Cricetulus griseus: one gene and its partners. The protein of the gene in region 7 interacts with the protein of the main gene of each other region in a pairwise test. Links are inferred from orthologs where the notes say so. Each region holds a gene or a part of one and is shown on either strand. Other genes may lie near its edges.

Region 1 (4,357 bases), about 100 Mb from region 7:
CAGTTACAAAATCTCGATGCACTTTTGGGTGGTGATATTAATGAAACAACAAAGTTATGTGCACAGCAACTTTTCCCATAAAAAGAAATAGCTAATGTATTCCTTCAAACACATTTTAGAACAAAAGGAGACATCAATATGAGCAAATGAGGTGGATTTAAAGAAGAGTCAGGCAAGATGTTTTCTCCAACTGAACTATATAGAGTAGGCAGACAGACATTAAGTTCTACTTTTGTTCTTTTCCTTTAAGTACTCCACATGGAGAATAAGCCAAGTAAACATGCAATTGAGCCCTCACAACTTGGGCCAGTCAAAGAAACTAAGGCTATCAGGCAAACATCCAGTTTGGTTCATATATCTTGTTTAAGTGGTGTTTTCACTTATCAAAAGGTACCAGTTGATTCTGTGGAGAGCACATAATTTTTTTAGTTTTTAAATCAGAATGTATTTTTTTTGCAGACTATTATTTACATAAATTATATTTCAGTCATAAATAATTGAAAATAGACTTACAGCCAGTTGTTCTTGACCTTGCACCTCTGAAATCTGAGGGGTTAGGGAAAAAGAATGAGAAATAATAAGGGAGAAAAATCAAAACAGAGATTTTTTGTTTGTTTTCCATTTCACTATTGTATTAAAGATAAGATGAATATTATACTCATTTTTACATTGATGTAAGTATTTAATTAGCACATAAAAGAAAGAATCACATTGCAATTTTCATCTGCTTTTGGCAGCTCATAAATTGAATGGTAAAATCTATAAACCTCTTTTCTTTTGAATTATTTCATTATGCTCTTGTGACTTGAAACCTTTGCAAATCTGTCTTCCAGATAGGATGTGGCTTTCATACTCTGGAAGTCTCAGCAGCTATGATTGTCTACACAAGACCTGCACAAGATGCCGCCTGTCCAAATCCCATCATGGAGCATGGAGGTGACTCACAACACTCCCCTATCCCCGAGAACCTGTTGGTAGTTAATTGTTGCTGTGAGAGGAAGTAGCATTTTCAAAGTCCAGAGTGTGAACTATTATACAATTGAAACCTCTTTAGAAGAGGCATGTCTTCAGAGGCATAGCCACTGGTAAGTTGCCCACACTCATGTAAGTTGACCACATTCATGTAAATGATCTTTTACACATACCTCTCTTAATTATGTTTTGTTTACACACATAAAAATTTAAGAATAAGAAAAGTAAAGTTTAGAAAAACGATAGGAAGTAGAAGAGGGACTTTTTGAGAAGAGGAAGCAAAACAGTAGGAGTGACAAGAGGGTAAATGAGGGCAAGTGTGACCGAAATACATTTTGCATATGTATGTCACTGTCATGATGAAGCACATTATTATGAACAACTAACATTTACTAATTAAAAATCCTTAATAAAGAAATAAGAAAGGAGAGTTTGTTATAAACTCCCAATAATTCTAGAATTGCTGTAGAACAGGAAGGGATTCATCTTATGACTTAAACTTACATCCTTTTACTCAAAGAGAAAATCCAAGTTCTTAACATGCAATTGACTGCCAAAAAACCAAGAACAAAATTTCAACAAATCAATGAAAGTAACTAAATGCTAAACTCATGGTAAAATTTTAAAGGTAATTTTGACCCCAAGAATTGACTCAAAAGTATTGTTTACTAGACAAATGTTTACATTTAATAATTTAATCAAATGCTTTGTACTCTAAAAATTTTATAATCTTAACAAGAGGGCACACAGTATTCTCTAGGTTGCCCCCCCCCACTTTGGCTGCTGGCAGATGCATTTCTTGAAACTGCAGAATGAGTGTGAAAAGAAAGCATAAACTGCAGTGAAGATTAGCTAAAAAGATAAAAGAAACAGACCCTTTTACATGATTCACCTTTAAACATAAAATATCATTCCATGTCTACCAGCCATAGAAATAATTATGGATATGGATACCTGGTAAGGGCTTGGCCAGGCCACAAAATAAGAAAGAGTGACACAAAAGTTAGTAATGGGAGTCCTAGAAAGCCTGAAGGTCTTTTAAACTTATTGAAACATTAAAGTATTTATTTAGTTTTAAGAGTAGACCTCTTGAACATGGATGTCAGTTTGGAGGTCTGGTTAATCTAGGGGGCCTCTAGTAGTGGATCAGTATTTATCCCTAGTACATGAATGGACTTTGGGAGCCCACTCTACATAGAGGGATACTCTCTCAGCCTAGACACAGGGAGTCTAGGCCCTGCTCCAAATGATATGACAGACTTTAAAGATCCCCCATGGAAGGCCTCACCCTCCATGGGGCGCAGAAAGGGGATGAGATGGGGGTAAGTGGGGGGCAGGGGAGGAGCAGAGGAAGAGGGAACTATGATTGACATGTAAAACAAGCTTGTTTCTAATTTAAATAAAAAAGAAAAGAAAAAAATGAGTTCAGGTCTCTAATAGAGATAATATCAACTTACTGTGGGATCTGGGTTTTGCACCTCAGCAGCAGAGTTACAGAATGAGAAATCATGAGAAATAAGTTAAGTATTTAAAGTATTTAAGCATCTAGTCCATAAGGAGGCTGGAGGATGGGAGGGACAGAATTTCATCAAAAGGATTTCTGATACTGGACTAGGATTCCTACATTATGGCTTATGAATTATATTTACAGCATTTTCTAATTTAAAAACAGATCTCTATAGTATAGGAATTTGGAAGATTTTCTATGAACAATGCAGTATGTGTTATGGCAACCAAATGGATATCTAGAAGAATATTTATTTTTATGATATAAGTAAACATAGAAAAACTATTAACCAACTGTTACACTCCTTGAAGTGCTTCTATTTTGATATTCATACAATTGGAACTCTTAAATAAAATTTATTTAACATCTTACATAGAAAATTGAATTGAAGTTAACTTACCCAAAGGGGCAGAGTTAATGCCAGAATATTCACAACTATGATAAAATTCCTCATCATTGCACCTAAAAATAAATTAAAAAAAATAAGACTCTTTTGCTGACAAGCTAGAAGTGATTGTATGCAATGTTTTCCTAAGGGGGGGGGACCTTCTGAATTTATAGGTAGATTTAGCCAGTGCTGGGAACCTATTTTCTCAAAAGTGGAGAAACAGCAAACTTGAAGCAAAATTAGTTTCAAGATAATTTTTGGTTATTTACGAAGCTATCATTACAATGTAATCATCTGTTCATTTGATAAAAGCCTACTGAGAATATGTGCTCTGCCAAACATCGAGGTTATGAAACTAGAGCTAGGTCTTGCTAATGAACAGCATGGGCTCTTAAGGATGAGAAAATTACGATACATACAAACCACAAGACAAGGAACAAGTGGGAATGTCACAAAGGTGGGCTGTTATCAGCAGAAATCTTCATTTCAGATAATCATCAGAGTCTGTGAGGCAAGACTTGCTCAAAAGAATTTGCTAGAGAGAGAAACATTTCAAAGAAGGGTAAGCTTTGAGAACACCTATAGACATTTTGATTGAAGTGATAGACAGGATAAACGTAGAAAGTCTAAAATCTAGAAGTAAAGACTTCAGTGCTCTATGTTAAAGACTGAGGCATGGCTCTGTGAGCAGAAAATAGTTCAGTGTGACCAGACTGAGTTTGAACTTGCCTGTGTAACCTTGAGCATATAATTTCCTCTTTCTAGGCCTTACCTTTGTTATCTGTAAAAGCAGGACTTTAAATTGGGTCATTTCTAACATTTTGTGACCCTTAATTAATATATCAGACATGGGATAGATCTTCTGGGAAACAGCATTTGTCAACATCTAAATTTACTTTTCCAGTAATAAGAGATATGATCAATTTCACTGCTTTAATAAGACATATAGATATGGCAATTTTAATGTCTTTGAGATATCTTAAGAAATCAATTAGTCTTTTTCTAAGAGAGTCACAATGCCTGTCTGCTTGTGTAATTTTAATAGTTCTTAGATAATAACACTTCAGTCTTTTAATATGTTACTACTATATATTGTATTTGTGAAGGGAATCTTCCATGTCTTACTGTAGCTATTATTCTTTCTATACTTGTATAAACTTGAGTTATGGAAAAGCTTTATAAGAGTCTCAGAATCAAGACCAAGATTGCCCCCCCCACAGGAGGGAAAAGGAAAGAATATGAGACCCCATTTGCCTCTCTTGTTGTCAGCCTCAGAGGATTAGAAAGGTCATTTGCTAAACTGACTTTAGCCCCACCTCTAAGAGATCACTGAATTGCAAATATCTCATGTGTAATCAAGTTTGGACAACCTAAGTAAAATGTTTCCTTGAGTGGATTGAATTCTTTATTAGATTTCTTGTTTTCCAGTTATCTTTTCAAATCATCATCTGAAAACTAGTATTTCTTTGTTAAAATTTTTAGATGAGATT
Region 2 (3,504 bases), on a different chromosome or scaffold from region 7:
ATCCTTAAGTGTTTAAAGTACTAGGCGTGTCGGAGGCAGGATGAAGCCTGGGCCCTCAACAATGGGATTCATAAATGTTGACTAAAGAGCTTTGGTAGACCTCCCTCCAATTAGTGGAGGCAACTTTACAGGAAATGGGAAGGCAGAGAATCCTAGCCCAACGAATCATAGATTTGTAGACTCTGTGTGTAGCTAAGCTTAGGGTAAGGGCCTGGACTGCAATGCAGGTTTCTATGAAAGTGGGTCCAGAGTGCACAGTGTACAGGGAGGCTAGAGGAGCAAGCCTGAAGCCCAGGAACTTACAATATGGCAGACACTGGAGCATAGGTAATAACATCGGGAATCAATAGTTCAGCTGGTGACTGTCACTGGATGGGAAGTTGAGTCAGGAAGACCTTATAGAGTTTGAAAGGTCAAGTTATCCACAAAGAAAAAAATGAATTTGTTATCTCCAGTAAAAACAAAAGTTTTATTCAAAGAAGTCAAGTACTACTTGGTGGAACAGTGCATGTCATCATAAATTGCATAGTAGTATAAATCCTGATGGCTTCTTTTATCCAAATTCTAAGTGATTCTGGAAGGTTATGGGAAGGATGTGGAATATAACAGAGTGAACTGCTCTGTCACATAGTGGTCAAACATTTGTATTTTATCCTGACAAAAAATAAGGCATATGCAATTAACTTTTTTCTCCTTAAAATTTTAGTGGAAGAACGAAGTTTTGTTGAGAAGCACAGATGGCCATCAAACATGTACCTGAAGCAGCTGGCGGAGTATAGGAAGTATATCCACTCTCGGAAATGCCGCTGTTTAGTCATGTGACCTGCGCTTTTGTATACATACACTTTTTTATTATTATGAAGAATGGGTACCTCTGGGTTCCAGTAAAATTCTTATAACTAAATCGGTATGGTATTTTAAAAAGTCACCATACAGCTTCTTATTGCCTATCTTTGAAGGACTGTGGCAGTCTTAAAAGGAAGCACAGTCTACAGACTTCAGTGCTTCCCCTAGAATGTAAGACTGTTGGACAGTGGCTTCTCCTCTAGGTTGCCCCATTGCTCTAATAACACTAAGACCTCTGGTAGTTAAGAGATGTTTAATTTTTTGAAAAAAAATCATCTAGGCTACATACAAAAATTTCATTATGTCTGACTGATTGCTCTGCTAAAATAAGGGCCATTCAAAAGCCAGGTGTAACTGGAATTCGGGGGAGTGCTAACCAGTGGGGCATGAAGTTGTGGGAATAGAAATTTGCCATGTAACAGTTATATACCAGTTGGTTCCAGTCCAGTAAAAGTGTTTGAATCAATCAATCAATATAATGAGGAACAACTGCTGCATCTGGACTATCTAACCGCATCTGCTCGTTAATCAGCCACAAACCTAATCAGGGATAGTAGTTACTTCCATGGAACCTTCTGGATTCTGCAGGCTCCCACACTTAGAAAGGTCTGGCACTTGGTTTAGTGCTCTGCTAGTACAGCTGTTAAATTCTTACAAATGTTTGGAGAAGGGCCTCATATTTTTACTTTGCACTGGCTTCCCAAAATTATATATATTTCCTATCAGGGAAGATGCAGTTTCTTTCCTTCCTTCCTTCCTTCCTTCCTTCCTTCCTTCCTTCGTTCCTTCTTTCTTTTCCAGACAGGGTTTCGCTGTACAACAGCCCTGGCTGTCCTTGAACTCACGTTGTAGACTAGGCCAGCCTTGAACCTACAGAAATCTGCCTGCCATTGCCTCTGGAGTGCTGCCACCCTGCCTGGCTGAAAATGCTTTTTTCTTATTCAAACTTCACTCCTAAGAGTGAGAAACAGAAGAGTTGCAGATGCCAGGAGAGCAGAGTGGAGATTCCCTCCTTTGGGGAGGCTTGTACCTAGCCTCCACAGTGACCTCTCCTGACAGTAAGAAATGCTTTTTCTTGGCTTTGGGACACTAGCTCACTTCTGGCTCTATCCCGGAAGAGCAAAAACTTGATCAATATGTGAAGCCAGGAAGTTGATAGGAGTGACTGAGTAGCCTGACTATAATACACAGTTACAAAGACAATCACAGGGAAAGATGCTTTGTAGAGACTTGGCTACAAAAGCTTAAGAGTTCTTTCATTTAACTTTATCTGTTAAGATTAGGATGTCGGTGGCTTGAATTGACTTCTTTCCAAGGACTGAAAGGATATCTGGTGTGAAATATCAAAGCCACCTAGGAAGGTAAAAGAAAGGATGTAAATCAAAGACCTGCTAGATGTAGAGACAGTTGGCTGGGAAAGCTGAGTTAGTTATTTCATATCACATGTTGGCAGAAATGATTCTGCAGGATGCACAAAAGCTTAGGCAAGGAAAAAGCCTATCACTGTTTAGTGTTAGCATCGTGGGCATCTGGAATTTAGTACTGGGATATACTTTTCTAATTTCCAGTGATTTTAATATGCATATTTTCTCCAACTTTTCAAAAGTTTGATTCAACAGTCTTTCCTGTAGTGTTAGGATTACATGCAAAAAGCCCTTTTGTGTGTACCAGTACTGTCAAAATAATGGGAAAGAATTCTTTTAGCTAGAATCCCAAGAAAGCTCATATTAATTGTGCTGTGTCAGTGAAGATTATTGGAATGAATTTTGGTTTTGTATTTTAATCACTTGAATTATTCAACTATTGGCACATCCCATTTGGTGGCTTAGCATTGTAAAGAACAGAATATAGCAATACCTAGAAGTTCCTTTGCAATTTTAGATCACATGGTAGCCTTTTGATACTCAGAAGCATATGCTCACCCTCTGTGCTAATCACAGCATTTAAAATTCCAAACTTTTAGGAAATTGAAAAATAGGAGTTGAAAAACAAAACATTTTCCTGGAAATAGTATTTTAACATTTAAATAGATCATAACTGGTTCCTCTAGGGTGTTTCTCCTGAGTAGGAGCTGAGTTTGGAAATGGGTGGTCTAGAGTGTTTATTGTGGAAGTTCTTCACTACCTGTGAGAGTGACTGGGGCAGCTGTGTGTCAGAATATAAATGCGTACTTAAGCACATTTGAATACAGACCCCTCAGCACTGTTGAATCTACTCATCTGGAAGTGGTGAAAATTTTCAAATACTTAAAATGATCATGGCTAAATTAGTGTTGGTTTTGAGGGTTGTTTTCTAATCAAAGGATTATTTCTAGATGACTTTATGCTTTGTTGCAAAATTTCTGCTTCAATATATTTACCAAGTATCTTAGTTAGAGAGCATACTGTGTAGTAGAACTAAGGCCCCTTCTTTCAGGGCCAGGTTTGCATCCTATTGTGCATTCTTTGTATGCTGCTGGCTACTTCCTCCCAGTCCTACTACAGGGGACTAGATTTCTAATAGAGAGCACTGGCACAGTGACTGAAGCCCACCCCTGTACAAGCCATACTTGGGCTTCATACTGAATACTGGAAGACTGAGGAATCAGATGAATTTGACTTCCAAGAGAGCCAAACTTTTCAACTGTAATTTTACAAATAACACTACACTGATATAGCC
Region 3 (4,295 bases), on a different chromosome or scaffold from region 7:
CCACTAAAATGTGTACATTCAACAGCCTGGTTCCAGAAGTTTCTATGAACCTATAAGCTGGCCCAAGGATCCTGATATTATAATTTAAATAATAAAATACTTTATTATTTCTCCACACGTACCTTGGAGCCGCTTGGCCAGCTCTCGAGTGAAGAGCACATTGGCCAGCTTGCTGTGGCAATAGGCAAAACCACGGCAGTAGCGTTTCTCCCCTTGGAGGTCATGGAAACGGATCTTGCCACCAAGGTGGGCCACTGAGGATAGGTTTACCACCCGTGCAGGTGCAGACTCCTTCAGCCTCCCCAAAAGCAGGTATGTAAGAAGAAAATGGCCTACAAAGAAATCCAAAAGTAAAACTCAAGGATAGAATGGTTCTAGGCTCGGGGTATGGAAACCCATGACAGGACTTCCATATTAGCTCACTGTCCCCTGAGTGTGAATAAAGTTTGATACCATGAGTCACTCCAAGCTAAATGGTCACTTGCTCTAAGTTAGTTGATTCTCCAAAGCAGGGATCAAAGCTAGATGGTAGTAATGATATTTAATCTACTGTCTATATACCCACCTGCTAGCCTCTAATTTCTCTGTATAACTATGGGTCCTCATCTACTCACACAGAAAGAAGGCTATAGTAGTCAGGGAAAAGGACACTTGCCTAGGACCTAGGGATATGCCACATGCTCCCCTGACTAGAACCTTCATCTTGAACTCTGAACACCAATCTATCTTGTATATCAACTTATCAAGGTTCACTCACCCCCACATACCAGCACAAGGTTTCCTTTGGTTCTCATTGGATGTCACTGCCCCTGTCAAATCCAGATCCCTAAATACTCACTGGTTGGCCCTGCCCAGCAAGCCCTGCATTGCCACTAGACCATTTAAGGATGATACTTTTCCCCCTAGTATCTTCTGAGATGGGGACTTCTGAATAGAAACACAGAGTCACAATTTTTGACTGCTTAGAAAAGGGCAAACAAGCAATGTGTCTTTTGTAGAGGAATCCCATGAGGACCCCATGAGGACCCTACAAGACTCTATGAGGATCAGTGGAGATCCTGAGCATTTTGCAGGGCCATCTTCCTACAGAGAACACGGTGGGTTATAACACACTTTTTAGCCACACAAAGACACTTACCCAGGTGGTTGACTCCCAAGTGGGTTTCAAAGCCATCTGCTGTCTTAGAATATGGACTCATCATCACTCCTGCATTGTTGATCAAAATATGGAGCTTCTTTTCCTCTGTTGAGTACAATCAGGGAGATCCTGTGACTAACAATGCATCTTCTAGCCACCTGTCACTGTCTCAAGTGTTTGTCCCTGACTTTCACCTATGAACACTCTTTGCTAGGCACGGTTATCACTTATCTTTCTCCTGTCTTCTAAGATAAGATGTTGCCTCAGAAGTCAATAACTATTCCCCATTTGGACCCATCTGCATGTTATAGAATCACCACTGTCATTGGGTTTCTGATTTTCCTTGCTGATAACCTTCCCGGACACCATTTGTTCATTTATATGACCAATGTGTACCAACCACCAACTCTGGACCAGACACACATTGATGGGCCCTGGGAAAACAAGGCACACCTAGATCTTGTCCCTCAAGGACCTGTAGTCCTTGGTAGATGCTGGTACTTTCCCAAGACACTGGAACATTTTGACAATAGCACAAATTCATCGAGTGCCTGTAACCACAGAAGGTTGATTTTCTGGATGAAAGAAAAGAGCAGCATCAGGGCCACACCTTGTGCCATGGTACAAGCTCAGACATGGAGATGAAACCTCCAAGATTCCCACTGTGGAGCAAAACGTTGATAAAGATCCTGCCCAGCTTGTCCCCCTGCCATCCCTTTGCCAATTCCCTGTCCTGCTGGTTCATGTGGCTGAACCTGTCCAGTGGGATCATGGGTATGATGAAAGGGCCATATATGGTCCTGGGAGGGGCAGCCATCCCTACATTTAGTTCCCTGCCTTCCTGGCTACTCACTGGAACCTTACCTGCCAGGAAGCCCTCAGCAAAGGCTCGAATGGATTTGGTGTCAGATAGGTCCAGTTTCCGCACCAGCACCTGGGAGTTCTTGGTATCTGCTCGGATTTCACTAGCAGCAGACTCTCCCTTCAGTACATCTCGACAGGCAATGTATACTCGTGCTCCTTGAGCCAAAGTAGAAAGGGCAATGTGTGCAGAGGTACAGGAAGTGAGCTTGCAGCTGATGGGTAGAGCACACTCATAGCTGTCCCTATGGTAGTGGGAGTGGCCATACTGCCACTTCCGGGTTCTCACAGCGCAGTTGAGAAGCCTCATTTTACACTCTTAATATTTAATTTTGCTTAGTATCTACCTTAGAATAAAGGACTTGACTAATATTACACAGAGACAACATTCTCTTTACTCCCCGAAGTAGGGAAGGCACAGGAAGGAGGGAGCTATGCTGAAAGACAGAGTAAATTAGTGTCACATTGGACTTGGGTTCCAGTTTCCTCTAATCCCATCAGAACCTCCAAGCCCAGGAAGAAAGACAAGGAAATCCAGGCAGGACCCCATTGAAGAGGGCAGGAGGTGTGGCTCTGAGGAGACAGGGAAAACACTCACCTCTTCGAGCAAGCTCTCTGGCTGTCTCCTTGCCAATGCCTGTGTTGGCACCTGTGATAACCACTACCTTCCCAGGAATCTGCACATTCGTTGTACAAACTCCACCAGCAAAGAACTTCCTGTCACCAAATGAACAAAAATCAGACACAATTTTCCCATTCTCATGCTGAGATGCATAAAATGAGGCCATGGAACTCCAAAGAGGGAGGGCTTTAAATCGAAGTCATAAAACGTTGTCATCTTAAGAAGTTAATTTGAGTCAAGATCCCCTGAGTAAATTGAGAACATGGGAAGAGGGGGGAGGGAGCTATGAGAATGAGAAGGGAAGAAGAGGAAGGATGCAGAGGTCATGAGGGAGCAGAAAGGTTGAGTCAGGGGAAGAATAGAAGAAAGGATATGTGATAGGTAGGGTTTTAGTTGGGGGGTGGTAGGGGAGGACAGGAGGGAGAATGGAACTGGGATTGTCATGTAAAACAATCTTGTTTCTTATTCAAATTTTAAAAATCTGAAAAAAAAAGAAGTTAATTTGAGCTGGCAGTGGTGGCTCACACCTTTAATCCCACACTTGGGAGGCAGAGGCAGGTGGATTTCTTTGAGTTCCAGGACAGCATGATCTACAGAGTGCCAGGACAGCCAAGGTTACACAGAGAAACCCTGTTTTGAAAAACAAGCAAAAAAGAAGTTAATTTGCATGGTCCACTGTTTGATTGGGCAAAGTAGTAGCCAGCCCATGGGCATAGTTGGGAAGGTCATGTGTCCAGAAGCAGATAATAGTCACTGGAACAAGCATAGAAAGTGCTCCTGAGCCAATGAAGGCATCATTTATCAGGTAACAAAGATTTCAATCTAATCTCTAGATTCCTATAGTTCAGCTTCCTCCGCTGACCCACATTGGAAACACATGGGTGATGAACACTAGTGGATTCAATAGCCCTGAGCCCTGTGGCTCCAATAGTCACCATAGGAACTGGTGAACACCATCTGGGCTGACACATGTAAGTTATCACCCCTCAGCTGTCTCTTCAGTTTTAGAGAATAGAGCATCCTGAGAGACTTTTCTTTCTTTTTCCTGCCATTGTGTTAAGGGTTTTATTTAGGCCATTGGCATACAGAGAAAAATTTCTTGTTGAAAACAAGACCAGAGAGGTGAGAACACTTCCTGAACATCACTGGCTGACAGACACTGAGCTAGACACTTTCTGCTTTTTCTGTCTTTTCTTAGGTTAGACACTTTTTACACTCATTGTCCACCCTGGGCTAGACTTTCTACATTCAATGTCTGTCCCACATTAGACACTTTCTATACTCACTGTTTATCCCAGGCTCGACTTTCTACTTAATATCTATCCCAGGCCAGACACTTCCTACACTCACTGTCTACCCCAGGGTAGACAGTCTCTACACTCACTATCTTTCCCAAGGTAGTTACTGGCCATACATGCTATCTTTCCATATGTAATTTATATTAATCTCCTCAGCCATTTCAACATTATTTCTATATTACAAAGGAGAAAGCTGAAGCCCAAAGATGTTCAAGTCATTTCTAAAAGTGGTCAGGATGGGGTATAACACTCTGACACTCTAACCCTAGTATGTCTATCTAACCTTCTTTTTTAGGGGTGGGTATTCAAGACAGGGTCTCTCTATTTAGCCCTTACTGTCCTGGAACTCACTCTGTAGACCAAGCTGGCCTTGAAC
Region 4 (4,479 bases), on a different chromosome or scaffold from region 7:
GCACAGAGGGCAGCGATAGGGAGCGGCCCCGTGTGTCCTCAGGTGCTTGGTCATGGCAGAGAAATCCCGGGAGCGCTGAGGGCAGAGGCTACAGGAGAAGGGCTTCTCTCCTACAGGTGGAGGAGAAAGCCAGAGAAGGAAGAAATGGGCGAAGGTTGGCCAAGCTAGGGGTGTGTCGAGCAATGGGGCAAGGGAGGAACTGGCAGCCCAGCGATGGGAACAAAAAAGACAAATTCACACTGGGCAGTATGCCCATACCTGTGTGGACTCGGTAATGCGTCTCCATCTGGTGCTTGAGTGAAAACCTCTTTCCACAGACAGAGCAAGAATAGGGCCGGGAGCGAGCAGGAAGGGGTAAAGCAGAGTGTTGGTGAGATGGACAGCTCAGTGTGCATTCTTGACCCACACAGGTTGCCAGTGTGCCTGTGTGGACAGAGAAGTCAAGATGGCATGACCAGAATCCCTGAATTGAGTCAATACATCCAGGCAAGAAATTGAGAGCTTTGGTGACCCTGAGGTAGCAGTTCTCTCGCCCTGCTTACTGTGTACCCTTACCCAGACTCTTTTGTCTCCCAAGGGCTGAGTTGTTCAGGGCCCTGGGGAAAGGATCCTGCAAGTAGGGTAAAGTAGGGGCCCTGCTAAGGCCTGACTCCTGGAGCCCAGCTGCTGTGCAGAAGCCCTGGATGGAACAATGAGGGGCTTACCTGGAGTGGAGCTAGAGGAGGCCAGCTGATTCTGACTCCAGAGACCTTTGGAGTGGCTCAAGGTCAGTGGGATCCTGGGTGGAGAAGAATTACAGCCTTGGCGAAGCCTGAGAACCTAACCAGCTCTGGCCTCTCTCAAGATCAGAATATTTTGTTGTCTCCTTAACTTAGCAAACGTATGGAGACGTGGTTCCCTCCCACCCATGACTGCTGCCTCTCCTGAGCTAAAGCCCCCCCAGCCTAGATACCTTCCACTAAGCCCTTCACTCACCTCTGGTCTTGAGGCCAGACCTGCCAGGCTGCAGTGACGGGGGTGCTAAGGGAGGAGGGAATGCCATATCTGGGCGGCCACAGGAAGATGCTCCACAGGCCAGGTTGGCCCTCTCCCAACCAAGGGGCCTCAGCCCACCAGGGCCTGGGAATGAGGCTGGTTAGGGGGGAACCTGGTAGGGAAAGGGGACCAGGGCACCCACGAAGACACTCCTCAGAGCCCTCAGGGCTCTCTATACCTTGTATGGCCTCTCCTTGCTTCCTTTCTGCTCCCCTGTGGCCCCCAGGGGCTGAGCTGAGGGCCTCCTCTGCTCTCATCTTCCTAGTTAGCCCTGCCCTCTCAGGGCTCTCTCCGGGTGCTCTGCGCTTGTGTAACGTCTCCTGTTCTTTCCTGTTACTCCTAAAATCCTTCTCTGGGCTCTGTTTCTCTCCAGGACCCCCCGGTCTTCTCTCAGAACTCCTCGTGAGTTCTTCTGACACCTGGTGCCTCTTCAGTCCTCCATGCAGCTCATCTTCGTTCTTGTCCCTTTGAGCTCGCTTGCATGCCTCTTCCAGGGCCTGCACCCCCAAGGCTCTGGCCGCCTCTTCAAGGTTCCCCAGCTCCCCAGGCTGTAGCTCCACGCTCTCTCCATACACAAAGGTTAGCAGCTGAGCAAAGGTAGAAGGGCTGATGCCTTCAACCAGAGCCCACCTGCCCCTGCATCCCAGCCTCGGGCTTGCACCTGCCAGCACCAGGCTGTGGGCAGGGAACTCCAGGCCGCCTACAGTGATCAGGGTATCACACAGTGCTGGCCGAAGCCTAGCCGCTAACTGCACCAACCGATCAGAGCCATAGGGGCTGATCAGCCTTGTGGGGGTCTGGGGCATTGCTCTCGACTAATCTACCAGTTTCAGAGGCTCTGACAGAAAAGCCACAATGGGGGGTCCATGGCAGAAAGGGGAGGGAGAAACCGCATATTCTCAGGCCTGTGGAGGGGAGGGGAGAAAGAGGAGTGACTCTCCAGTCTCAGACTGGAGCTGTCTGTCCTGAATGAGTCATATAAACCAAGTCAAAGGCAAGCTGGGGAAGCAGCGGGAAGAGAATCCATCCACATTGGGTCAGGTTTGGGGCCTAAGGAGCAAGAGCCAGGCAGTTAGCAGAGGTAGCAAGCAGTGGGGTCTAGGACCCGTACAGTTAGCAAACTCGGGTTTAAAGGTTGCTGCTTCCCCGGGCTCTTTTGCAGGGAAGACCCACTGAGCAGCTTGGGCTTTTCCTCACAAAACTTGGCATTTATGAATGAGTAAGATGCCACTTCATGAAAGACCTCAAAAAGCTTGTGGGTCTTCCCACAATGTGAGCCCAGACAGCTGGACAGGTTACGCAGGCAGCCAGGCAGGGAGAGCAGGTGCTAGGCATCACTCCGAGGCTGGAGCTTCTAGCACACAGAGAAGGAATGAGGAAGACTAGAGATTGCCATCCAGCGAGTTGAGAGAGCCACACCAGAGGTTTAGAGAAGGCTCTGGTGCCTGTGGAAGGAGAAAAAGGAAAGGGAAACTGGAGAACAAAATGAGGCTAACGAATGGTTTAGAAAGTGCCCAATAAGTCGAGGGTTGAATCACACACAAGAAAACCATCACAGGCCTCCAGGATACTGGAGACAGACAGATCAAGAAATAGCCCAAGTGTCTTAGCACCTAGCAGGCCTACCCCCGGTGCATGCAGGCCCTCCGTGAGCCGGGGCCCTGTGGGAGGGAGGGAGGGAGGGTTACTACCTGGACACCTTGGGGTGAAGGGTGCCAGCTGGCAGGGACTGCACAGAAATGGTTGGAATGGAGGGGGCTCAGCTCCGGGAGACAACACTCACCTCTGTAGCTGCCTCCTAGCACCGCAGCATGCTCGCATGCTCGCATGCTCGATACTGCTCTTGGGGCTCCTGCCCCCCACCCCAGCTAGCTCCACCCCTGTCCTCAGTCATCCCAAGTATCAGTCTGCCACAGTCCCCCCCAAAGGGGTGTGGCTTTATACCTTCTGTCTCTGCTTGAGACCTGCCAGAGGCTACCCATCTACTTTTAACAACCCAGGCTGCCTCCTCACCTAACTCTGTGATTTGTCAATTCCTTAGAGCCAAAGACATCAACTGTGGCCACAGGTACTTTGGAACAGTCAGAGGCTGAGCCTCATTTGTGCCATTTACTAGTTGAGTCACCTTGGGCAAGTCATCTGTCTGAGCCTCAGTCTCCTCATGCGTCAAATACCACTGGTGTCCTTTGGAGGAGGGGTGAAGACCAAGGGCCATGCATAGGGAAGTAGCCGCCAGTACAGCCTAGCATTCAGCTGCTATTCGGTCTGTCTTAGAGGTGACAGACGTGTGGAGTAGCTGCAGACCATTTCTGCCTGAAGCAGAATGTGAAGCACGGGGGAACTGGGGGCCATGCCTCCTTCCTCTCTCCCTGGCTGGGTACATTGAGCCCCTCTTATTCTGTGAGGTTGACCCTTGTCCTCTGGACCACAGCAAGGGCTGGGGTTGTGTGTGTGTGTGTGTGTGTGACTCAGATCCTCCAAGCAGACTCTGAGGGGGGCAACCCCAGGAAGCCTGTGGTGGTCTTCGAAGAGAAAAATCTCCTTTTCCTGGGCTGATGACAAATGACATTTCTCTGAAATCAAAACCAGGGGCTTCTTTCACTTTCTGCCCAAGGGGTCAAGATCCCTGGAGATTTCCGCCTCTTATCACGCTTTTAGCACCACCGTCTCTTCTCCTCTTCCTGTGTGGCTCACGATGTCCTTGAAATGTCTATCCTGCCTCAGCCAGTGCCACCACACCCATTTCTGACACTCTGTAATTTGAGGAAGGGACAAACCCTTTGAGACTCAGTTTCTTTTTTTTTTCCTTTTTTTCCATTCTATTAATCCGATTCCTAAGCTGATCTTTCCATTCCCTGAGAAGATATCTTGGGATATTTGTGGCATGTGTCTGGTATTCATATAGGTACAATAAACAGCTAAAAGAGAAACTAGGCAGACGTTGGTAGACGCTGTGGTGACAAGATTCAGTCTCGGTCCCCATAGGTTTCTCCCTGGATTCCGGCCCCTCCTAGCCCCAATGGGGTAACATTTGCTTTTCTCCCTTTGGCTCCAGGGCTCCAGGGTATTCAGACCAGACTTCTACTCTCTCCCTCCGGGCCTAGGATGCCTTCCCTCCCATTCTAGCTTGGATGCAGGCAGGTGTCAGCCCCTCCTAGGTCAGACAGGGTGTGTCGGTGGGTGAGGCTGGCGAAGGGGCAGTAGGGTGGAGATAGGGGAAGATGAGTCAGAGCGAAAGGGAAAATGCAAATGGCAACTTGTGTTCATCTGCTCCCCTGAAAGTTACATATTTTCCATTTCTGGGCTTTCTAATTCCTGACATCACACACTTGGGAACACACGAGATTCTCCCATGTAAAAAGACACAAAATGACAATCCTTCCACTAGGTGTGCAAACAGACAAAACTTCTCCAACACAAAACCAGTCTCTAAAAACAAGAAGT
Region 5 (4,297 bases), on a different chromosome or scaffold from region 7:
ATTGGGGCTCAGTAAAGTGATCACAGCTCACCCAACTGGGGAATCATCTCCAGCACTCTGGTGAAGTCTGTCCACGTGAAGAAAGTCTGTTCCCTAGCTCTCGGCATACACACGACCAGCCTCAAAATGCACATGTTATGAGCAAGCAAGTTTTTTCTTACCCCATCCATGTGGATCCTAACACTGGGCACCAGCCGGAAAGGGCTGGCCTGTAGACTTCTGGGGCTGGTCTTGCTTTTCCTGCTGTCCTGCAAGGTCAGTATGCGAGGCCTGCGAAAGGAGCCCCGTTTCCAGGAGTTCTGCCCGGAGCGCACACCATCCAGCAGACGCACCAGCAACAGGTTGGCTGGCAGAGCCTCGATGCTGCAGAATACCAGGGTCCTGCATTCCGGGCACCGCAGCTCCTTGTGGGCCTTGAAAATCCTCTGTAGACATGGTTTGCAGAAGGTGTGCTGGCAGGGGAGGACTTTGGCTGTGACATCGAGCTTTTCAAAGCACACGGGGCACTCCAAGAGATCAAGTAACGTCAAATCATCCATTTTATTTTAAAACTCCAGTCCCGACCTGGAGAAGCAGGATTCACATTGTAGCGGCAGCCGAGTCGAGGGGGTAGAGCCAGTCTTTCGGGAGCATCAGAATTCCCTGCCTGTTTGAAGGAAGGAGGAAAAAAAATGTAACTGCCCTGAGAGGTGTGTCCCACCTACATGGAGGCTGTGTCTTGAGAGGCAGCTGCAAGCACTTTGTTCCGGGAGCTTCAAGTGACTCATTCTGATTCAGTCTTGCAGGTTAGAAGACTTGTGCCTGCTGCAAGAATCTGAGGGAACTCTGCACAGTGACTGAGTGCTCATTGCCTCTGAGCGGAGGACCCCAGCAAGGAGAGAAAACTAGCCTGCTCAGGCTGGGAGCTGCTTCTCTGCTGGAAGGACTGGAGGAGTGCTTTCTCCTGCCTGGTTCACAGTCAGTCTTAACTCAGACTAAGGCCCTGACAACACAATTTCTGTGAGGTTATCTACCTACCTTCCCTTCCTCTCCACTAGATTGGCTTGTCTTCTATCTGTAGCAGAGTAGATGAGCTTAGGGAAGTGTTTATCGACTCCATGCAGATGTAGACTTCTTTCCCTCCAGTAGATCTCCCTCCACTATTTTGTTCTAGCAATATACAAGAAAAATTCCTATTCCCCGATATTGTTTTGACTTTACCCTGTCACGTCCCTCTTCCTTCTTCCATCTCCTCCCCTCTTCCTTCCATGCCTTCATCTGCCCCAGGTTAGTGTAGTGCCAGAGATAGTCTTCCTCCTACCAGGTGAGGTCCTGTGGCCTGTTTAGTTGCTTTGACAATTGTGCTGGCTGGCTTTCAGCTGCAGCAGAAAGGAATTCAGGCTTGTGGTCACAGCCTACAGAAAAAAGCCCAGAGGAAGCAGCATGCACGGGCAGGGAGGGAGGTGTGTGTGTGTGTGTGTGTGTGTGTGTGTGTGTGTGTGTGTGTGTTGTGTCTGTGTGTCTGTGTGTGTGTGTGTGTGTGTGTGTGTGTGTGTGTGTGTGTGTCTGTGTGTCTGTGTGTCTGTGTGTCTGTGTGTCTGTGTGTCTGTGTGTCTGTGTGTCTGTGTGTGTGGTCCGAAAACAATCCTGGTTTTAGAAACAGTTTCATTTCAGATGCCTGAGAACCAAGTTTCCGGTTTTGAAAGGTCTCTTGGGTACAAGTCAGCCACGCCCAGGCTCCTGTGACTGCCGACACCGGACACCGCGGGTGGGCTTGGCAGGCGAGCTGGTGGCCCCCAGCAGTTAGCGTGACAGATGTGAGGTGTCCTGAACAGAGATGGCACCTTGGGGCGGCCGGGTGGGGTGGTGGGGTCTGTCTCCAAAGTTGTCGGCGCACTGGAGAGGTGCATGGGACCACTAACCTTGTGCCTATAATTTCAGGTGCAATCTTTTCGCCCCTTTCTGGTCTCATCTGGGGCTGCTCCTTCTAACTGGCTAGCCGCCTTTCCTCCCCAGGGCTGGGCGTCCGAGCAAGCTTTGAAAACTTCCACAAAGTCCTTCCAGTTTCAAGGGATCACCTTACCCAACCCTGTTAACACTGTCGCTGCCAGCAGCTGCCTGCCAGCCCACACACCGCGGCTGACCCATGCTTGATGTCACCGCAGCTAGAACCGAGCAGTGAACAGTTTGTGGGCCCATGTTCCCCATTTTCTCTCCCATTCAAGCAGCTTAAAGTTGCTTGGCTAGAAACGTGCCAAGTGCTAGTGCTTATTTTTAAACCTTTATGAGGATTTGCCGAGAAGGTCAAACATATTAATGATAGCTGTGGTTCAAAGATAAGGCATCCTCTTATAAAATACTGGTCTTAAAAGTGATAATCACTCCTTGAATGTTGAGATGAGAGAGGCTTCAGTAATCTTTGGCTCAGTTTCTTCCAATTAAAAAAGGAGTGGGGTGTGTGTGCACATACTTTGAAAATCAGACCACAGGAAGATCTTTTAAAAAGGCAATAGTAATGATCCCAGATCTGCTCTGTCTGTTACTTCCTGTAGTCATCCCACACCCCTTAAATGATGCTAAAGTTCCATTTTTGACTTATCAGTAATGTACTCATGTGCAGTCGCAAAACAGTCCAGTTGAGCAAGTAGGTGATGACGCTACGTAACATCAAGGTGGCCCCCTGTGTGTGTCAGATACTATTCTAAACACTTTCCTTGCATTTGCCTATTTAACCCTTTCCCCAACTTGAAGGCACTACAGTTTACCTTAACCAGCCAGATGAGGATGCTGAGATGGACAGGAAAGCTAGTCATCCAACGGGGGGCAGGTGGTCTGTGCTCTTAATTACTGTGCCATGGAGTGAGCAGGCTTTAAGAGAAGAGAGGGTTTGAGGACACCCAACCTCATCAGGGATGGAGAATATGGCAAGAAGTCAGGAGATAATGACTCAGATTGACCAATCAGCATGCCTTGCAGATGAGGCAGCTATGCCCAGAGAGATCAAGAGATTCTCTCAAGTTGCCTGGTGAGTGAGGGTAAAGCTGCAACTGGAAACTGGGTCTTCTTCTTCCTTTCCTCCTCCTCCCTTTCTCCTCCTCATCTTCTTCCCTTTTCTTCTCCTCTTCCTCCTTCTTTTTCTCCATCTCCTCCTCCTCCTCCTTCTTTCCCCTCTCCTCCTCCACCACCACCTCCTCCTCCTCCTGGTATCTTCTGATTGGATGGGTGGGCCACACTTGTAATCCCAGTACTGGGAGAGCAGAGGCAGGAGAATCATGATTTTGAGGCCATCCTGGCCTATATTATGAGAATCAGTCCCCCATCCCCCAATACAAGTCAATTTCCCTTTCTTTTTTATTTCTTTATTTTTCCCCTATCCTCTCTCTATCTATTGACTCTTCTTATGTTTAAGCATGGGGACAACAATTCTTTGAAGGGGCATAGGGGATTGAACCTTGGGATTCATACTTGCTAGCAAGGACTTTACCAGCGATCCAAATGCCCTGCCTGATGGTAATTCTTTATCACAGGAAATCACTTAGACATGGCTCCTTGGGAAATCTTAGGAAGGAATCAAGAAGCCTTCGGTCATTTGTCTTTCTTGTGTTCTTCCATGTCAGTTTAAAAAAATTTAACATGCATGAAACTCAGAATGAAGGAGATGTTTGGAAGCAGCAAGTGTAGTCTTCTCTTCTGGTCTCAGGCCTTAATTCCCACACATGTCCACTTCAGAGAACTCTTTTCAAATCTGCACTTCGAGCTTCAACAGCATTCCGTCCCATTCCACTTTGCCGTGTCTATCTATGAGGGCAGTTTGAAGCTCTCTGCAGATCCTTCACTCTCATTTCCTCTCAGGAGAGCTCAGCTCCTCTGTGAACTGCCCTGTAGTCTCCTTGCCTTCTAGAGAGTGGACTCCAACAGTAGCTCTTCTGTAGCAGGGTTTTGCAGTGTCCTCTTCTTCCCTCTATGATTCTTCTTTCTTCTTCTTTTTTTTTTTTTTTTTTTTTGGTTTTCGAGACAGGGTTTCTCTGTGGCTTTGGAGGCTGTCCTGGAATTAGTTCTTGTAGACCCAGGCTGGTCTCGAACTCACAGAGATCCACCTGCCTCTGCCTCCTGAGTGCTGGGATTAAAGGCGTGCACCACTAATGCCTGGCTTCCCTCTATGATTCTTAAAAACATTCCATCTTCCTGACATACCCTCATCTGTACCTACCTGCACAAATACACTTGCACAAGAACTACATATGTAAACATGGAATATCTAAAACAATGATAGAAATGCTATAGATAACTTGATGTATGACAGATACGAGTGAGAAAA
Region 6 (4,397 bases), on a different chromosome or scaffold from region 7:
CTTCTTCTTCTCCTCCTCCTCCTCCTCCTCCTCCTCCTCCTCCTCCTCTTCCTCCTCCTCCTCTTCCTCCTCCTTATACTCCTCATCCTCTTCCTTCTCCTCCTCCTTTTGTCTGTATTGCTTTGGAACCTGTCCTGGAACTCTCTCTGTAAACCAGGCTGGCCTCGAACTCAGAGATCTGTCTGCCTCAGCCTCTTGAGTGCTGGGACTAAAGGCGTGCACCACCAATGAACGCCTGGCTGCTATTACTTCTGTATGGCTTGTGGTAGGCTGGTCAGGAGTGGCTGGTGTGGGCTGTGTGTGTGGCTCTGGTTTGGCCTGGGGTGCCTGGTCATGAGTTGTTTGGCTGGTGGTGGTCTGGCCTAGACGGTTGTGAGCTCTGACTGTTCGTGTCCTGCTGGTAATGCACCCCTTGCCCTGCCTTCCCAACAACCCCACACCAGCTATATACACTCATCTTCTCGTCTGCCATTGTGCAAATCAGACAGTGGTACCTGGCAGGCCCAGGTCATGTCCCCAACTTATCTCCCACTAGTCCTTCTTTGAGAGGCTAAGTGGGGAAGAAATATGCCCTGGGGCTGCTTGGTCACCCTCCTGTGGCTTCAGTTCCATGTGGAAGTGTTTCCAAGCTCAGTCTAGAGTCCCACAGATGAGGATGCAGAGGGTGGGGGTACGGACAAGAGGGGCTAAGCTGCTCACAGGCAGATCACACCGTAAGCCTCCTGACCTTGGCTTGTGGGTGAGGTTAGGGAGTGGCCGCAGGGGCAGACAGCACAGCGAGGGCCATGCGGAGAGAGGCCTTTGTCCTTCCTCATTCAGCATGTCCTCCTGGCCTGGAATGCTGCCACCCGCTCCTCTGCTCCATCAGCCTGGCAATGACCCTGCTCTGACAGGGAGGAATCAATTTAGGGCCAAACAAGGACCTCTCTGGTGTCCTTGGCTTTCTTTTTGCTGCCTTTTGATCTGCCCTGCCCCTGGCTCTCTCTGGTGCCTATGAGAGCTTGGTATGGATGCTGCAGGAGAGGGCTCTGCTGTTCTCCAAACCACCAGCCAGCCCAGGGATCCCGTGGGCGCATGCCCTATGTCTGAGCTATTTTCTGTGGAGATTTCTGGAGTTCCCTTCTGCTTCCATGTGGGTACCTTCCAGTTTCATCTGCCTCTGCCGTGTGGTGTGCCTTCCCTGGTCTCACATACCATATTTGTGAACACTGAGCCCCCCTCCCCCTTTTTGTCTGACTTTGTCCACTTGCCCATACTCCTGGTAGGCGAGTTTTGTGGTGATATGTGTCCAGGACACACCAGCTGGAAGGATGTGGGGTCTCTCTGCCCAGCTCCCCAGCACCAGTTAGCCTGGCAAAGGAGCAGCTTGGAGAGAACAAAGGGGCCTGCTCTATAGATATTTGGGGTGCAGTGGCTGTGAGGGGTCTGCAGATGGGTTGTGAGAAGTCTGGGGAGAGGGAGATTGGAAAGTGCCATCAAGAGGGCAGGTGTCTGTGGGGCTGGCTTGTGGCCATGTAAACCTGTGGTGCCTCCTCCCCAACAGATTCCAGGTGTCCTGCTCCTACCTGAAGGGCATGGGGCCCTCGCGTGTTCCCAGAAGGACCGTTCTCTTCCAGCGGGAGAGGACGGGCCTGACCTACCGCGTGCCTGCGCTGCTCAGTGTGCCTCCCAGGCCTACCCTGCTGGCCTTTGCAGAACAGCGACTCAGCCCTGATGATTCCCATGCTCACCGCCTGGTGCTGAGGAGGGGGACACTGGCCAAGGGCTCAGTGCGGGTGAGTGCAAAGCGCTGAGGGGAAACGGAAGCCCAGCTCTACTGATCCCTCTGGAGACTAAGGTCAGGCTCCAGATGTCTTGACCAGCTGCCTCTTTTTCTTAGTGGGGCACCCTGAGTGTGCTGGAGACTGCGGTGCTGGAGGGGCACAGGTCTATGAACCCTTGCCCGGTGCTGGACGAACACTCGGGTACCATCTTCCTCTTCTTCATTGCGGTGCTGGGCCACACGCCCGAGGCCGTGCAGATCGCCACTGGCAAGAACGCTGCTCGGCTCTGTTGTGTGACCAGCTGTGATGCGGGCCTCACCTGGGGCAGTGTGCGAGACCTCACTGAGGAGGTCATTGGTGCAGCATTGCGGGGTAGGTGACACCTGGTGTGGGATGGGCTGGTGGTGTGGGGCGGAGGAATTGAGTGGGTAGGAACAGGACAGGGCAAGATGGGCTTGGGCTTGACCCTTGCATAGGCCCACCAGTCACTTGGAAATCTTCATTCTGCCTCTCCTATCCTCAGTTTCTTGCCCCACAACCCCCAAGAGCAATGACTTCCTAACACTGTCTCCAGGACTGTCTGGCATTCCCCAAGCGCCTTCAGTGTTGGCAGGGCGGCAGCTAAAGCCCACCAGGGGCTCCCTTTGTCTTGGTCTGTAGAGGAGAGGGTTGGGGCTCTTATTCTCTTTTACCACTTCCTTTTGCTTTTCGCCTCCTCCTCATCCAGCCCTGGTCTCTGGCCCCCGTCATTTTTTCCACCTCTGCAGTCCCCACCTGCAGTTGCTGACTCTGTTTCACTACCCGACTCCTGCTGATAGGCGTGGCCCTAGGGGCTACAGGACCAGGCCCATGACTGCTACTTAGAGGGGTGTGGCAGCTTCTGGGAGGTGGACAAGGACAGTGGGCACATCCAAAAACCTCACCCACGGTCTCCTCCCTTTACCACCCTTGTGTAATAGCACTTGCTCCAGAAGTTGAGCTCTGCTGGTGATCATTAAGCCTCTGTTGGCTAACAGCTGGGGAACCGCTCTGTGGTAGACCACTTGTTTGGCCCGGTTTCTGTGCTTTGCACCCCCAAACAAAAAGCAAAAGTCTCCCAAGTGGCTGGAGAGATGACTCAGAGTGAAGAGCTTGTATGGCTTACAGCTCTTGCAGAGAACTGGAGTTCGGTTCCCTGCACCTGAATTGGGTGGCTCACAATTGCCTGTAACTCCAGCTCCAGGGCATCTGCCACCTCTAGCCTCTATGGGCACCTGCACTTATGTGCACACCCTCCAAATGCACATAACTAAAGATGTATTTATTATGTATACATGTATGCCTGCAGGCCAGAAGAGGGCACCAGATCTCATTACAGATGGTTGTGAGCCACCATATGGTTTCTGGGAATTGAACTTAGGACCTCTGGAAGAGCTGCCAGGGCTGTTACTCTCTGAGCCACCTCTCCAGCCTCCCCCCAACCCCAATGCACATCATTAAAAATAAGTCTTTTAAAAACTTTAAGAAGGCATTTGACCGAGCAGGCTCCCAGGATTATGCAGTCAGATGACCCAACCCAAGGTTCTGGCTCCTTCTTTCTGTAGACTGGGCCACCTTTGCTGTGGGTCCAGGCCATGGAGTTCAGCTGCGCTCAGGTCGCCTGCTTGTCCCTGCCTACACCTACCACGTGGACCGCCGAGAGTGTTTCGGCAGGATCTGCTGGACCAGTCCCCACTCCTTGGCCTTTTACAGTGATGACCATGGAATCTCCTGGCACTGTGGAGGCCTTGTGCCCAACCTGCGCTCTGGAGAGTGCCAACTGGCTGCCGTGGGTGGAGACTTTCTCTACTGCAATGCCCGGAGCCCTCTGGGCAACCGGGTGCAGGCACTGAGTGCTGATGAGGGCACCTCCTTCCTGCCAGGGGAGCTGGTGCCTACACTGGCAGAAACTGCCCGTGGCTGCCAGGGTAGCATTGTGGGCTTCCCAGCCCCACCCTCCAGCAGGCCTCAGGATGACCGGTGGCCCGTGGGTCCTGGGAATACCCCACATTCCCCATGCTTCTATCTCAGAGTACAGGAGGCTTCAGGGGAAGGTGCTGGGGGTCCTGTTGAAGGTTGGGTTCCCAGAGGGCCATTCTGCACCCCACAGACCTGGGGTCTAGGGAATCATGGCTCAGAACCTGGGCCAGGTGGAGATAAGACAGTCTGGAGCCCAGAACTCCCTGTGTCCTCTGCTTCCCTGCTTCAGAGTCCCACATGGCTGCTGTATTCCCACCCGTCAGAGCGTAGAGCTCGGCTCCACATGGGAATCTACCTGAGCCGGTCCCCCTTGGACCCCCATAGCTGGACAGATCCCTGGGTGATCTATGAGGGCCCCAGTGGCTACTCCGACCTAGCGTTCCTTGGGGCTGTGCCTGGGGCGTCCCTGGCCTTTGCCTGTTTGTTTGAGAGCGGGATCAGGGCCTCCTACGAAGACATCTCTTTTTGCTTGTTCTCATTGGCTGATGTCCTGGAGAATGTACCCACTGGCCTAGAGATACGCAGCCCCAGGGACAAGCCTCAGGGGCATTGCTGGCCCTCTTGATGGCCTGGCCCTCTGGCAGGCACCTGGGGAGGAAGGGGAGAGTGTATAGAAGAGGCTGGGTCAAGTCAGCA
Region 7 (2,935 bases):
GCTAGGACTCTGCCTCCCAAGAGAAGGGATTACAGGTGTATGCCACCATTAATTAGATCAAAAGCAATGGGATTTGATGGTACATAAGTACCATTAAACCAGAGAGAGAATTGTAGCTCATGACTAGATAGAACCGAACTAGAAATGGGATCCAACTCAATAACGGAGGTCCCATTTTGGGGGTCTTCCCTTCCTTGGGAACAGAGCAGGCACACAGCAGTATGTGTCCCCTAGCTAGATCTGGCAGCCTTGTTGGTGCTGATGCAAGAACTTCTGGTAGCCGATGACCTGTTGGCACGAGGATCTTCTAACATGAAGCTCAGGGTGGTTTCGGAGCTCGAGAAGATGGCAGCGGCATCGATGAAGCCCTGGAGCTGGGCGCAGTCTTCTAGGGTGCTCTTTCAGAATCTGCTCCCGTGAAACATGCAACTTAGCTTCTACGGGCCAGGTACTCACAAACTCAGCCAGAGATTAAATACTTTTGCTCCAAAATTGTAGCACCATGAAAACAAACTCTGTAGTCTACTTGAGATCATTTTCCCTCTGATTGAAATTTTTATTGAAATCTCTCAAATATCATCAAGAAATAGTTTTTTGTTTTTTTGATTTTTTTTGTTTTTTGCAAAAGGGGGGTGGGGGTTGCTAACAATTTCAACATGGGAGCTCCCTCTGCTGGTCTGCAGTAGGCTGATATGTGACAAACACATTCCCAGAGACAAATCTAATTTGCTGGAGAAGAGGACAAAAGACAGGTGTGTTGGGCTTTGCCTCTGGAGAGAAACACTAGAAGAAAAAAAAAAAAATCCATGTCTCAAAACAAAGCACAACATTGCAAAAAATAAAAAATAAAAAAAAGCAAAATCAGAAGAATCTCCAAGACACTCAGTTTCCAAAACAAAACCCCAGGCACCTAGGAAGGGGCCCCCACTCTGCTCCCCTCTAGTCAGTATTCTCGGAAGCCATCTTGGCCTCCAAGGCTCTCCTGACAGATTTCCCATTTACTTAGAAAAGAAAGTTCCAAGAAATCGCTGGAGCAAGGCCTCTCCAAAATTCCATCAAGAGTAAAAGAATTAGGTGAGCTGGCGCCTTGCTGTTTTAGCAAGGGAAGCAGGTGACAGACCTGCTCTAGAACTCTAGAACCACTGTGACTTGGGACAACTCTCCATCTCCTCAGGCCCTGTTCCCTGTCTGTGTAACGGGCTGGATCAGTTGTCTGCAAAGCTACCAGTTCACTCCAACATGGACAAATACATTTATTAAGAATGTTCATTTAAATGACTCTACAGAAGTGAGACTCGACATGGATCTCACCACCAGCAGATCGGAGTTCCACCAAAGGTAGGGCTGATGGCTGAGTTAGGAGGACTGCAGGCTGGGGAAGTCTCAAGAGAAGGGGGTCGTGTGGGTGATGTATGCCAACGAGGCACACGCCGTGATGCATCTAATCTTGCACTGGGTCTCCATCCCTCCTCACAGGGGCGTAGGCTTTCTAAATCTCCCAAGACCCTTGTTAGAGAGCCTTTACCCTCCATATCCTGCAAATAATTCCAGATGTCATGTCACATCATGACCAAAGCCAGTCTTCCCAGGTCTTTCTGGGCATTAGCAAGCCTTGATTCTCCAGGCAGCAGTGAATGGCTCTGTTGCCCGATGTGCAACCTTGCACTGTTTCATGGTGTGTACTGCTAATAACCCCAACAGTTGGTTGCTCTGTTCCTGAACCCTAAGCAAGAAGGGCATACCTGCACACGAAGTGTGGGGCACACAAAATGGGGACTTTATGGACCTTTGTTGTCAACAAAGTTATCCACAGCACAAAACCACTAACGACTCAGCTAAAGACAGCCACCACCTAGCTGCTCCTGCCTGCTACCTGGCAGTCACCAGGGTTACTGAACACTGACCCATGTAGAGACACCGGGCAGAGGGTGGAAAAGCAAAAGGCACACCTGATCCTTGACTTCAGTTTGTTTCTTGAACCAAGGCAAGTCACTGCCACCTCTGCACTTTTCCTAACTCCCCACACTGCTTTGTACCCCCTCCCTGAAGAGGACAGACAATATCTGTTCCCGGGCACAAGACAATGGGGTTCCCTTTGAACTCTGTCTGCCTGAAGCAGATGATGCCCCAGGGAGAACAAACAGCTAAGGAAACCAGTTGCCAATGCAGGCAAAAAGCACTGGAGTCTCAGATAAAGAAAGGTTGGCCTGCAGTACTCTTGACACAGTGGATTGGGAACACTCTCTGGGGCTGCTCCCAGGCCTCTTAATCAGGACATGAAGGGGTATCATCCAGCCTTGGAAACAAAGACCATGCAAAATAAACACCCCCCCACACCTGACCAGTCTGACAATTTACAAAGATTTATAGTATTTGTTTAGTTTGGGTGTCTGCACGAGTACTGGTGTGGAGGGCAGGGGACAACTGGCAGAAGGCAGCTCTCTCTTCTACCTGTGGGTCCTGGGGATTGAACTCAAGCTGTCAGGCTTGGCGGCAAGTGCCTTTGCCCAATGGGCCATCCTACCAGTCCACAGCCAGCAATTTTTAAGAGGCCAGGTTGAGTGGCATATGTAGTAAGACAGATAGAACCTATATTTTACTTGTCAATGGCCAGCAATAATTGTCATGGGCTGACTACATGAGTGGTTATGCCAAGGGTGAAGCTCGGGTCTCATTATTATCCTCAGCTCTCAAAAGAACCATGGCTTCCAGGGAGAGGAAGAGCTGGTATGCCTCTCCCTGTATTTGGAGGGGAAGCAAGGAGTTTGTTTCTAAAACCCAGGCTGAGCAATATGCTGCGGAGATCTACCCTTGACATGGACCTTTGTGCACATGGCAATAAGCAACCTTGTCTTCCCTGCAACTCCCATAAGATCAGGCTTCCTCTTGGAAGCCTCCTTTCGGCCCCTCATCTCACTTTGGACAAGAGAGCACA

The links.
Region 1: the proteins of Rbpms (region 7) and Csn3 interact in binary tests that used the Homo sapiens proteins (3 or more experiments, as listed by UniProt). The two-hybrid records come from large-scale screens. The link is inferred for Cricetulus griseus from reciprocal best matches to the Homo sapiens genes RBPMS and CSN3.
Region 2: the proteins of Rbpms (region 7) and Rhobtb3 interact in binary tests that used the Homo sapiens proteins (3 or more experiments, as listed by UniProt). The two-hybrid records come from large-scale screens. The link is inferred for Cricetulus griseus from reciprocal best matches to the Homo sapiens genes RBPMS and RHOBTB3.
Region 3: the proteins of Rbpms (region 7) and Rdh12 interact in binary tests that used the Homo sapiens proteins (3 or more experiments, as listed by UniProt). The two-hybrid records come from large-scale screens. The link is inferred for Cricetulus griseus from reciprocal best matches to the Homo sapiens genes RBPMS and RDH12.
Region 4: the proteins of Rbpms (region 7) and Zbtb32 interact in a two-hybrid assay, tested with the Homo sapiens proteins (3 studies listed by BioGRID). The two-hybrid records come from large-scale screens. The link is inferred for Cricetulus griseus from reciprocal best matches to the Homo sapiens genes RBPMS and ZBTB32.
Region 5: the proteins of Rbpms (region 7) and Sh3rf2 interact in a two-hybrid assay, tested with the Homo sapiens proteins (2 studies listed by BioGRID and IntAct). The two-hybrid records come from large-scale screens. The link is inferred for Cricetulus griseus from reciprocal best matches to the Homo sapiens genes RBPMS and SH3RF2.
Region 6: the proteins of Rbpms (region 7) and Neu4 interact in a two-hybrid assay, tested with the Homo sapiens proteins (2 studies listed by BioGRID and IntAct). The two-hybrid records come from large-scale screens. The link is inferred for Cricetulus griseus from reciprocal best matches to the Homo sapiens genes RBPMS and NEU4.

What each region holds. Positions count from the first base shown.
Region 1 is NW_023276807.1:153,111,644-153,116,000, reverse strand, and holds the start of Csn3 (kappa-casein), read right to left. Parts: upstream 2,938-4,357; 5' UTR 2,937-2,937; coding exon 2,880-2,936; intron 547-2,879; coding exon 514-546; intron 1-513. UniProt on the Homo sapiens protein: Kappa-casein stabilizes micelle formation, preventing casein precipitation in milk.
Region 2 is NC_048595.1:297,015,029-297,018,532, reverse strand, and holds the end of Rhobtb3 (rho-related BTB domain-containing protein 3), read left to right. Parts: intron 1-706; coding exon 707-822; 3' UTR 823-2,807; downstream 2,808-3,504. UniProt on the Homo sapiens protein: Rab9-regulated ATPase required for endosome to Golgi transport. Involved in transport vesicle docking at the Golgi complex, possibly by participating in release M6PRBP1/TIP47 from vesicles to permit their efficient docking and fusion at the Golgi.
Region 3 is NC_048598.1:124,423,103-124,427,397, forward strand, and holds the start of Rdh12 (retinol dehydrogenase 12), read right to left. Parts: upstream 2,828-4,295; 5' UTR 2,788-2,827; coding exon 2,598-2,787; intron 2,159-2,597; coding exon 2,003-2,158; intron 1,244-2,002; coding exon 1,139-1,243; intron 333-1,138; coding exon 123-332; intron 1-122. UniProt on the Homo sapiens protein: Retinoids dehydrogenase/reductase with a clear preference for NADP. Displays high activity towards 9-cis, 11-cis and all-trans-retinal. Shows very weak activity towards 13-cis-retinol.
Region 4 is NC_048602.1:5,237,615-5,242,093, reverse strand, and holds the start of Zbtb32 (zinc finger and BTB domain-containing protein 32), read right to left. Parts: upstream 3,038-4,479; 5' UTR 2,819-3,037; intron 1,941-2,818; 5' UTR 1,842-1,940; coding exon 976-1,841; intron 779-975; coding exon 705-778; intron 424-704; coding exon 259-423; intron 111-258; coding exon 1-110. UniProt on the Homo sapiens protein: DNA-binding protein that binds to the to a 5'-TGTACAGTGT-3' core sequence. May function as a transcriptional transactivator and transcriptional repressor. Probably exerts its repressor effect by preventing GATA3 from binding to DNA.
Region 5 is NC_048595.1:195,855,387-195,859,683, forward strand, and holds the start of Sh3rf2 (E3 ubiquitin-protein ligase SH3RF2), read right to left. Parts: upstream 2,835-4,297; 5' UTR 2,745-2,834; intron 1,466-2,744; exon of another isoform or gene 1,018-1,465; intron 647-1,017; 5' UTR 540-646; coding exon 162-539; intron 1-161. UniProt on the Homo sapiens protein: Has E3 ubiquitin-protein ligase activity. Acts as an anti-apoptotic regulator of the JNK pathway by ubiquitinating and promoting the degradation of SH3RF1, a scaffold protein that is required for pro-apoptotic JNK activation.
Region 6 is NC_048595.1:445,312,294-445,316,690, reverse strand, and holds Neu4 (sialidase-4), read left to right. Parts: upstream 1-1,562; 5' UTR 1,563-1,574; coding exon 1,575-1,775; intron 1,776-1,879; coding exon 1,880-2,135; intron 2,136-3,346; coding exon 3,347-4,326; downstream 4,327-4,397. UniProt on the Homo sapiens protein: Exo-alpha-sialidase that catalyzes the hydrolytic cleavage of the terminal sialic acid (N-acetylneuraminic acid, Neu5Ac) of a glycan moiety in the catabolism of glycolipids, glycoproteins and oligosacharides.
Region 7 is NW_023276807.1:51,013,578-51,016,512, reverse strand, and holds the end of Rbpms (RNA-binding protein with multiple splicing), read right to left. Parts: intron 784-2,935; coding exon 652-783; 3' UTR 533-651; downstream 1-532.